Kluyveromyces lactis: one gene and its partners. The protein of the gene in region 1 interacts with the protein of each later gene in a pairwise test. Links are inferred from orthologs where the notes say so. Each region holds a gene or a part of one and is shown in the gene's direction. Other genes may lie near its edges.

Region 1 (2,878 bases):
GGTTTCAATTGCAAAGAGGAATCGTTCAAATCCTTGGCGTTCCATTCCACATGGTAAAGTATATCTTTCAATTTCTCGGCTGAGGCATAAGTAATGGAAGGATTTATCGTTAGGACTAACGAGACTTTCAGACTTTTCCAGAATCCAGTAATCCCATCCTCATCATAAACCTCCTTGGCAATAGCCTTGAAACTGTTGTCCCCTTCTAAACCACGTCTAGTCTGTTGTTTTGTCGAAACAATGTTGATTGGATTAGTGAATAACTGAGAGGTTGCTGCTGCCAGCATGGAAAGCAGCAATTCTTCAATTGTTGAAAACCTGGCAGCCTCACCCTTCACTTTCTTCACACGGAAATAATGTCTTCTGATCAAGGTATACCAGAAGAAATAAGAGAAACTCTGTATGAAAGTTCCAAGCAATGATGCGCTTAACCCATGGTATAATCCACCAAACCCTTCATTCCGATAAACTTTTACAATCACATCTAATGCATGCTTATACCGCTGCTCCAATGACTCTTTAGTCGCTGTCGGAGGTTCAGGCTTCGGTTTAATCTGCTGTATACCGTGTTTCTTCGGTTTACTGGAGCCAGTACTTTCCTTGGTAGAGACATCAGCTTGAACATCAGAAGAAGGGTACAAATCACCTTGTTTCAACTGAGTTTGAATCACAGTTTTCGCCAAATCAAGTGGATACACTGCCAAATTGGCAAACCCGCTGGAGACTGCCCCAACGAAAGCATTCTCTAAACTTGCCATATGTTACGGTGGTACGTGATTTAATTGACCCTGATCTACTAAACTTCGGCGTTTATAAAATTGATTATCTCCTGTTCACAATAAATTGTTAGAGGGGCGGTGATTCATTCAATAAGCACTGCAAAGTACTAAATTTACTTTTTTTTTTGATTTTATTATTCTCCGCTTCCAACCGAAGAGTTTAGGCTTGAAAACAGGAACATTTTGCACTTTACACCTTAGAAATTATATTCCATTTATATAGTAGTTACTTTCCCAGAATTATTCCCCAATTAGATGAATAGCGGTCACTTATCACAGATTATTTTCCAGTTTTTCGGCTGTAATGTCCCTTCTCCACACATTTTTTGGCTCTCGTCTGCCTCGAAGTGAGGATTCTTCGAAAAGAAAAAAAAAAAGTGTTGATATTGATCACGTGGTTTTGAAATGCCATTCGTCAACATCGAAAATTAATATTGAAACCGTCAAAACTATGAATTTCCATGCAGGTATTTCCAATTGAAGAATCTTTAGAAATCTAAGGGACTATGACATTGAATAATACTGACTGCATCTGCTAACGTTCGCTCTTAATTTAGAACTATTCCCACACTTTGATCGTTGTTCAAGAAGGATATTTGTTTGTATCTAGTGGGTTTTAGAAGTTAATTTATTGATTATAGAGTGTCCACTTTTTGAAAGGATGTCGCAATATATTGGTAAGACTATTGCTCTTATTTCGAATACTGATAACCGTTATGTCGGCTTATTGGAGTCTATTGACTCTGAGAAAGGTGTTGTTACTTTAAGACAAGTTCGTTGTTTCGGTACAGAGGGACGCAAGGGATGGGGCCCGGAAGAAATCTATCCCAACCCTAATATCTACGATACGGTGCCTTTCAACGGTAATGACGTTAAGGATTTAAACATTTTAGACGTTCCTTTGGAACAAGTACAACCTGTATTGCCACCTCAGGTAAGCGGTCAACCACCAGCTCCGTTGGCTAATGCAAATGGGCCCAACGTTCCTGCTGCGGTGGCCGGGTATGGTGTGTACGCTCCAGACAAGGATCAGCAGCAAGTTCCCCAACAACACCAGCAAAAACAGCAGCAGCAAAGACAGCAGACCCGCCAACAGCCTGTTACCGAAAAGAAAGTTCCTAACCAGCAACAGCAGAAGTCTGCGGCTCCTGCTGCTCCTGTGGCTGCGGTGGCTCCTTCTGCTGTTCCAGATTCTGAATTTGATTTCGAAAGTAACAACGCCAAATTCCAGAATGCTGAAAAGCCCAGAGAATCAGATATAGAACAAGAGAAGCAAACCTCCAAGACAGATGAGATTTTCTACGATAAAAAATCCTCATTCTTTGATTCCATTTCAAGTTCCGCCGTAGAAAACTCGTCTTCTGCCAAATGGGAAGAGGAACGCCAGGTCAACTTGGATACTTTCGGTCAAGCCAGACCAAGAAACAATGGTCGTGGCGGCTTCAGAGGTCGTGGTGGATATAGAGGTAACCGTGGCGGTAACCGCGGTGGCTTCCGTGGTGGAAATCGTAATGCTGCCAACAAGCCACCAGTCCATGATGTTGAATCTTAACAGAACCCCATTAAATACCTATTATCTCAACTACCTCTTAACACACCGGGAAATTGAAGCTAACACGAAATGAATCGAGCAATCTATCGAAGTAAAAGCAGGGAAAGACGCATGTGTAACATAGAAACACTAAGTATACAAATTTAAAAGCTATTATAATTTTAAAAGTACAGCATTAAAACCGTATGTCCATCGGCAAGCAATTATGTTTCCGTCCATCAGCACGAAGACTTTTTCCCTGGTCTCTTTCCATCCCATGTCTCATGTCAAAGGCATCCTTGAGGTCATTTGGTTTTGTTGACCGGGAAGGTATTGGATCAGTTTGCGAGTTGTAATATCCTACAACTCTTCTATAGACAGAATATCCCAATTTTTCATATAAACTGATCGCCAATTGGTTATTGCATTTCACAAATAAATCAATAAAGTTCACATTATGCGGGGAGTTATCTGTTATGGTTTTTAATGTGTCACATAGCATCGATGCAAGCGATATTCTCCTGAACCTAGGTGATATCGTCACAGCAGTAATGTGTGCATGCCAGTC
Region 2 (4,193 bases), on another chromosome or scaffold:
TGAATGTTGTTAAACCCTCAAACATTTCTGGACTTTCGTCCGTTACTGGTTCTTGTTTCTCTATCACATATTCATAATCATGTGTTTTCGAATTGATTAAGAACTTATTCTTGATAGCCCTACCGGACTTTCGCTTGTTCGTTAGAGTGATATAATATGTGGGATTGTTCAAGTTCTTGGGTATCACAAATCTACTTAAATCTGCATCCAAATCGTCCTCGTCTATGGAAGTCTTCGGAGTAACTTCTATAACCGTATTAGCAATAAATTGCAAGAGTTGGATCGCAGTTGGATAGTTCTGGAGTTCTGCTGGACGCCAGGCTGGTATCGACTGATGATATGTAGCCAATATTGTCACAAATGGCGATGCAATGGTAGATATGAATTGTGTCAAGCTTTCAGAACCGATATAATTGAATGTATCAAAGATCACTAAATGCATCTTAGGAGCTTGTTCCTGTGGCTGCGGTAGGTATGGTTGTAATGCTGCAACTAGTTGCTGGGTGGTTTTCCCCGACGCATCTATGAATTGGCGTGCATATTTCGGTCTATTTGGAGTCTCAAATGATACGAAAACGATCGGCATTTCGTCTGGTATGTTATCTAGGAATTCCTCAACCACAAATCGGCTGCTTTGTGCCATCGTATCGGTACATAGTATTAGCGAAGATTGTTCCTTCAGTGAGAACGTCCTCTTCAATAGAACTTTGGGATTATTATTAGTAGAAGCCATCTCAGAGAATAAAGAGCACGCAGTATATTCGTGATAGATCAGATACCCTGAAAGAATGCTGTAACAGTCGAAATAGATGAAAACAGGCTACTCATAAGTACTAGTTCCCCGCATGAACCTTGATCTTATCTCATCTCATCGCCTGTCAAAGTGAATATTTCACCAAGCATTTGGTATGTGAAATTGCATATTTATAACGTAGATCAAAATAAAAACACATAAAAGTATCCAATAACGGTCCCATTTAGTGCACTTGAAAGCGCAAACCAGTAAAAGTTAGATAAACTGTGGTTATTAAATATCTGGGTTACAATCGAGGGGGTATTGAAGTGGTTGATATAACTTTATTGGATATCTTCCCAACGTTACCCTGATATAAAATATTCGGGTAACAATATACTCAAAGTGTTTGCGTAAAAATACTGTAAGCTCATATACAGATACTGGTCAGTAAGTGTGGAATGATTGGAAAGATAAGGTTTTTGAAGAGCATTTAGTGGGTTTGAAGTCAATTTAGCGAGTCTTCATTGACTAGCAGTTAGGTAATTACTATTTGTACGATTTTCTGCGTTTAAATTTTGTCAGAATCGACCGGTACTGCCACTTTTATCAGAACCAGTTGTGAATAGAACCAATCCTGAAGCAATGGTTGTTTACGGCCCACAGCCTTTGACACGGCTTAATACTGAGACTAGACATGGGTTTGAAGAGCAGTATTCAAGTGAGAAACTCTTGGAGGCGCATGCTAGCAATTTTATATTTTATTACGATGATAAGAGGCATCGAACCAATGGGAATCCAGTTCCTGAGGAAGTGAAGCAAGAGGATAAGGATGGATATTACCAGCCAATTCCTGATTGGAAAATAGTTAAGGACAGGCAGAAGACAGTTGCAGCAGCATTATTACTATGTTTGAATTTGGGAGTGGATCCTCCTGATGTGACTAAGACTCAGCCATGTGCAAGACTTGAATCATGGGTTGATCCCCTTGCATTTCAGGATTCTAAGAAAGCTATTGAACAAATAGGAAAGAACTTACAGAGTCAATACGAGACGCTATCACTACGTACTCGTTATAAACAGAGCTTAGATCCCTGTGTGGAAGATGTGAAACGCTTCTGTAATTCATTGAGAAGGGCTTCGAAAGACGAAAGAATTCTGTTCCATTATAACGGTCATGGTGTACCACAACCAACACCATCTGGAGAAATCTGGGTTTTCAACCGTGGATATACTCAGTATATCCCGGTTTCATTATATGATTTACAAACTTGGCTAGGAGCCCCTTGTATATATGTCTGGGATTGCAATAGTGCTGGTAACATTGTATCCAACTTTAAAAAGTTTGTTCAAAAGAGATTGAGAGACGATAGAGAAGGCAATCATGATATGGCATCACCTTCACCTACAGAAGCATACACTGAATGTGTGCAATTAGCGTCATGTGCAAACAACGAATTATTGCCCATGAACCCTGAATTACCCGCAGATTTTTTCACCTGTTGTCTAACGAATCCAATAGAAATATCTGTTAAGGTGTTTCTAATGCAATCTCCTTTGAAAGACACCAAATATTCCGTGTTCTTCCAAGATAACGATCCTAGAAGAAAAGAGACGGGTGTGAATGAAATGCCTAACATTACGATACCGGGGAAATTGTCTGAGCGTAGGACTCCCCTTGGTGAATTGAATTGGATATTTACTGCTATTACAGATACCATTGCATGGACATCATTACCAAGAGCACTATTTAAGAAGCTATTCAGACATGACCTCATGGTCGCGGCATTATTTCGTAACTTTTTACTCGCCAAAAGAATAATGCCTTGGTACAATTGTCATCCAGTATCAGACCCAGAGTTACCAGACTCAATTGCTGATCATCCAATGTGGAGATCGTGGGATCTAGCAATCGACGAAGTATTGACCAAACTTCTGGAAAGTGCTCATGCTAATGCAAAGAATTCAAACTTCCCTGAATCACAGTTTATAAGCCAACCAAACGAAGGCAATGAAACCAATGACGGGCTGCAATCGAAAAATACTATTGGAAACCTGAGCTCCATGTCATTGGTAAACTTTAGTTCAACAGCACATACCTCCAGCGGTAATTCAGCCTCGCACCCGACTACCTCTCAACAACAACAGCAACAATTTACGAAATTTTTTGAGCAAAATTTAACCGCATTTGATTTATGGGTGAAATATGGGGCTAATTCAAGACATCCACCTGAGCAGCTCCCCATAGTACTACAGGTTCTCTTATCACAAGTCCATCGTGTTAGGACTTTGGTACTGCTATCTAGATTTCTTGATCTTGGACCATGGGCTGTATACCTATCACTTTCAATTGGGATATTCCCTTATGTTTCCAAACTGCTACAAAGTCCTGCCCATGAGTTGAAACCAATTCTAGTGTTCATTTGGGCTAGAATTTTTTCTATTGACTATAAAAATACCCAAACAGAACTTATAAAGGAGCGTGGATACCAATACTTTGTAAAGATGCTTGTACCTGAGTTTGGTGTCCCAAGAGGACATAGTGTCAGTAGTGCTGGAAGTCCCTTGACTATGAATGTACCTGCAAGTTCTTCAACACAGAGGTACCAGATGTATCAACAGCAGCAGCAGCAGCAAGCATATAATAACGCGACGTTATTATCTAACAATAATACTACAGATGAACAAAAGGCAATGGCAGCATTTGTCCTATCGTGCTTTGTTCGCGATTTCCCCCTTGGTCAAAAACACTGTTTCAGCACTGAATTAGTAAACAAGTTATGCTTCTTTATCGAAAATTCTGAAGTTCCGTTATTAAGACAGTGGTGTATCATTTTACTTGGTCAGTTATACATTCACAATCCATTGCATAAGACATTATGCCTCGAAAATGAAAATATGAATACAATCATAGAGTCTTTAAAAGATCCAATTCCAGAGATCAGATGTGCTGCGTTATTAGCAATCAAGTACTTCCTTTCTGAAGAAGACGATGTTAACATTATCTTGAAACTCCAACAAGAATTTCAGCAACAATTACAACAATTCCAAGCGCAGCTGCAGCTTTTGCAATCTCAACAAAACCAGCAGCAGCAGCAGCAACAGGGAAATCAACAGAATAGTACGCATCACATACAGCAACAATACTATCAAATTCAGCAACAATCCCAACAAGTCCAAACATCAATGAGTCAATTGCAAAGTATTAATTTACGCAACCTCAAACAATTTGAGATTAAGACCATTATCACAACCCTTTCGCTAGTCAACGATGGTAGTCCAATGGTACGGAAGGAATTGATCATCTTTTTATCTCAAGTTGTAGAAAGGTATATCGAATTTTTCACTGTAATTGCTTTCACTGAAATCAGCACAGAAATAGTTGCGCTAGAAACGAATGGCCATGAAGACGACTCAAGAAATCCTACTTCAGTTGGTCATGGTTCCATATTCAATACCG
Region 3 (4,193 bases), on another chromosome or scaffold:
ATTACATAACTGACAGCAATCTGCTGACCGTTCATCTCTGAGTACTCATGAGCTCTCTGCTCTTCCTTTGTATTAACGCGTCAGATCCTGATGTACCTTCCCGTATATCAAAAATATGAAAAAGAAAATCAATGAGAAAAAAAAAAATTAACTGCGTTTTTTCCCCCTGTTCTCCCTGATTTCTTTGTCACATCTGCATTACTGATGGGATTTTTTCCAGATCGAGAATAATTTTTTTTTATAATTTTTTTGCAGTATTGTCGACATTTTTTCGCACAATATATTAACGTTTTGGATTTCCTACAAATTGTTTAACCCAGATAGTATTGAAAAAAAAGAATTACATATATATATATATGTATATATACTATGTCTGTGCATCGGTGTTATTTCGGATTGTTTTAGATCCTGAATGCTTGCATATATGTTTGATATATCCAGGCAGAATCAGAATCAGAATCAGATCAGGTCATTTATATCATCTATTCATCCAGTGAAACTAGAGAAGGTGTTATTATAGGGACAGATTATTCTACTTCTTTTTTTTTACTTTTTTATTTTTATACTCTGTCGGTTGATTCTTCATTGTATGTGTGTGGATTATTACACTCGCACCAAATTTCTTTCTCTTTAGTATTTATACTTTCGTGTGTGTTTGTTTTTGAATTTTTTCTTTCTTTACTGCCTACTTTTTGAACTCTCTTTCTTATCGGCACCATACCTCACAAACGACCGCCCGTTTATCACAGCACAACATTTCGGAAAATTTGGTGTGTGTGATACATTGAAATATTTCTATTCTATTCTGGATAAGTGTGTTAATAAATAGACATTTTCCAACCCAGGAAGTGAAGATATAAAGGAGATTCTTAGAGGAGATCAGACGGAAAGAAAACTCAAATTTTGGCCCAGCTAGAAGAATAGACGGAAATAATATTGAAAAATTTAAAAAAAAAAGTAAACCTTTCTTTAAAAAATTCGTCAAAGAACAAGGCAAGAAAGATTTACAAAAATTGAGGAACAAAAAAACCGTTATAAAGTAAGAAACTAAGGTAGAGTTTTTTTTTTATCTTAGGTTTTCTTTTTTATTCCGTATCATAGTTGTTATTTTTTTGGTCTTTTGATTTATTCAGTCCCTGCTACTCAAGTAAGAAGATTAGAGAAAGGTCTCACTCATAACTTGTTCGTCTCCTGTTGTCTTTGTTGATTTTTACAGGTTTTAGAATTAAGCTTTCTCTGTTATTGAAGGAAAGAAGAAAGAGCTTCAGATTTTTTTTTTCGGTGTTTCTCCCACTCACAACGACGATAATAGTACTAATACCTAATCTTAACACTCTTTTTTGTCCTGTACCCATTGGATGAGCGTATACGTTATAAAATGGATCAAAAACTGAATACTGATTTACAGGAAACCTTTTCCGGGTTCCAAAAACAGTTACAATCTGTCCTGGAAACCGATTTCTTTAGAGATGACAGCTTGATGAAGGGCGCTATTCAAATGATACATTCAAAAATCATGCAGATGTTGCTTCAGTCGCTTATACCGGAAGGCCTTCATCAAGATATTACTACTGACACCGGATCAAAAAAATCGGAGATCCGCTCGTCAGATGCACATCGTATTTTGGACTTGACTTGGAAGCACGTCCATTACCCCATATTCAAGTATTTCCAAAATTGGAGAAATAGGAACGTTGCAGAGGGTTCCAGACCGAACTATGCTGGTCACAGGCAATTGAACTCTATTCTACAAAAAATCTTCCCACAGATCCATAAACTTTACTATTCAACGCTAGAACTTATATTCGCAAATTACAACCTTACTGCATTGATTCCCTCGGATACTAGATCGAAATTGAACATCTCAACGAAGAAACTGAACGATGATGCTTCAAATGTTTTAAAACCAGAGGACTCTTTTTCTATTGATTGCGTCATGGCATCACAAAGATGTTTACTCTACATCGGATGTTCCCAAAGATATAAGATCATAATGGAACATTTGTCCGACAGATACCAACAGGCAGATTTCCAGAAACCTCTGAGATATCTGGATATCGCTTCCACTATCGTGCCATCTGTAGGAGAAACTTTCTTACAAAGAGGTATCTGCTACACGCATACCAAAAATTTCGGCAATGCAGCTTATCAATTTGTTAGAAGCTCTTTGTCAAGATTACCAAGTGATGCTGGGATCCCCAACTTCACAAACTTGTTAGGTGATCCCAACGGATCCCTATTCAAGAAACTACTTAACTCCTTAGATGATTTGAAAGTGCAGGAAACTATTAAAAAAAGAATAATAAACATGGAAATTATGGAGTTTTATATTCTTCCATTAATCGGATCTCATATCTTCCCTCAGACTTGGAAGAATAATAGACATTCAGATCGTCTGAAGCATTTTCAAACTTTGCTTTTCGATAAGATAGAAATTAGGTACATTAAGAACATTTCTATGATTTTCCAAGATTTGATCCTTCTAATAGGTAGTTTCCACATGTATCAAATGATCAATGGTGTTTCTTCAAATACAACTTCATCTGCTGCAACTATTATGCCTAATGATAAAACACTGATGAACGGGAACGGATCCGCCAACAGTATCAATAACAGTGGCAACAGCAATATTAGAAGTATACAATCAGAAACCAAATTTTTAGAGTTTATCTTCAAGTTTTTCACTCACCTCATTGATAAAGTCATTATGAAGGAATTTAAAAACTGCGAGATGTTTCAGTATTTGGCAATGGCTAGAATAATGATGTGCTGGATAAAATCTCATAAAAATGTGCTAAAATTCGCCCATAGATCAACTTCTTTCTGTCAGTCTATGGTCAACCTCACAAACGAGTTACTGTCTAGTAATGATTTGTCGATCAGTTTCGAACATCTACATAGACCGACCAGAGATTACTTCTATGAAGAAGATATCATGTTAAAAGAATTTGGACCTACGAAATTCACTTTATCTGACTTTAATGATGAAAAGCTCTTATCCATGGATAACTTACCGGATAGGTTAGTTGGAAAGTCAAAGAATAAGCTTACCGCAAAGGAAGAGCACTCATCAAGAGTCCAAGTCCTAGTTTATTCGAACAAAAAATTCTTAGAGAAAAATTGTTGCGGTTTCAAATTAGATACGGAAAAGAAGAGATACGTCCATACAGCTGTTAAAAGGGTTAAAGCCAACTCACTGCCCAATATTGCTAAACCAGAGTCCGTAACAAAAAGCTTCTCCATCGATGGTGCTGGATCGGGAAAGATATACCCACAGAAAAATGGATTCAGTGTGGCTTTCACTACTAGAGAGAACAGTAACGCATCAGGTGGAAGTAGTATGGACATGTCTACATCGCCACATTATACTGAAGAAGCTGTGAAAGATAACACGACTCCTGCTAACCCTGTATGGAATTACAGTGGTTCTTCTGCTCCCCAACCGCCACTGAGTTTTAATGTCACGCCATCATTTTCCGTCTCAACCACAGTTGAAAGAAGTGAGAATGAAAAATCTTTCAGTTTGTACAATAGGACCGAGATGTCAAATCACGGCAACAACAGTGCTAGCACAAATACTAGCAATGGCTCTGTTTCATCTCCTTTTTCATCTATCCATGTTCAAAGTTCGTCCTCTTCGATACCACTGTCTTCCACTAACACCAATGGCAGTTCTACTGATTCCAGAGAAAATAGTAACGGCCTTAATGAAGCTCCTAAACTTAATGTCCAGAATCTGTCCACTTTCAACTATTTACAGAACGCTTCGCATGATTCTCAAATAAGTATATTTGCCAGGGACAGTGTTGTTATGTCATCCCAGGCGAACAACTCCGCTGGTCTGTACGAACAAGCTCAACAGAGAACATATATGGGCTCCCAATATGCCCAATTCCATAATCCATTCACTTCGTTCTCACCACAATTTGACAACTTGCAAAATCAAGAAAACCATCCTCAGAATTCAACTAATATCAGAAGGGACTCTCAATTCTTTCCCAATAACAATGTCTCCATTGCAGGGGATCGTTTGCCTTCAATGGCTGAAAAGGCTGATGATCAATTCAACTTTTTCTTTTATTCATAGCGCAAAATAATAGTTCTCGGATTGAAAAATGTGTTTACCTTTCATGTACTGAAGTGATTCACATATAATTATTTTTAACGCCTTGTTTTTCTCTATTCCTTAGTTA

What was found. The genes of interacting proteins can lie anywhere in the genome.
Region 2: the proteins of SCD6 (region 1) and KOG1 interact in a two-hybrid assay, tested with the Saccharomyces cerevisiae proteins (2 studies listed by BioGRID, with this or other methods). The link is inferred for Kluyveromyces lactis from reciprocal best matches to the Saccharomyces cerevisiae genes SCD6 and KOG1.
Region 3: the proteins of SCD6 (region 1) and EBS1 interact in a two-hybrid assay, tested with the Saccharomyces cerevisiae proteins (2 studies listed by BioGRID). The link is inferred for Kluyveromyces lactis from reciprocal best matches to the Saccharomyces cerevisiae genes SCD6 and EBS1.

What each region holds. Positions count from the first base shown.
Region 1 is NC_006038.1:986,173-989,050, reverse strand, and holds SCD6 (Scd6p), read left to right. Parts: upstream 1-1,440; coding exon 1,441-2,331; downstream 2,332-2,878. Other genes in the region: ANT1 (Ant1p), read right to left, coding at 1-758; peptide alpha-N-acetyltransferase complex B subunit NAT3, read right to left, coding at 2,507-2,878.
Region 2 is NC_006037.1:828,970-833,162, reverse strand, and holds the start of KOG1 (ubiquitin-binding TORC1 subunit KOG1), read left to right. Parts: upstream 1-1,378; coding exon 1,379-4,193. Other genes in the region: Elongator subunit IKI1, read right to left, coding at 1-733. UniProt on the Saccharomyces cerevisiae protein: Component of TORC1, which regulates multiple cellular processes to control cell growth in response to environmental signals. Nutrient limitation and environmental stress signals cause inactivation of TORC1.
Region 3 is NC_006042.1:1,926,953-1,931,145, reverse strand, and holds EBS1 (Ebs1p), read left to right. Parts: upstream 1-1,378; coding exon 1,379-4,087; downstream 4,088-4,193. UniProt on the Saccharomyces cerevisiae protein: Plays a role in nonsense-mediated mRNA decay (NMD). Recruits UPF1 to cytoplasmic mRNA decay bodies (P-bodies). Negative regulator of gene expression. Inhibits translation most likely through effects on eIF-4E (CDC33). Involved in telomere maintenance.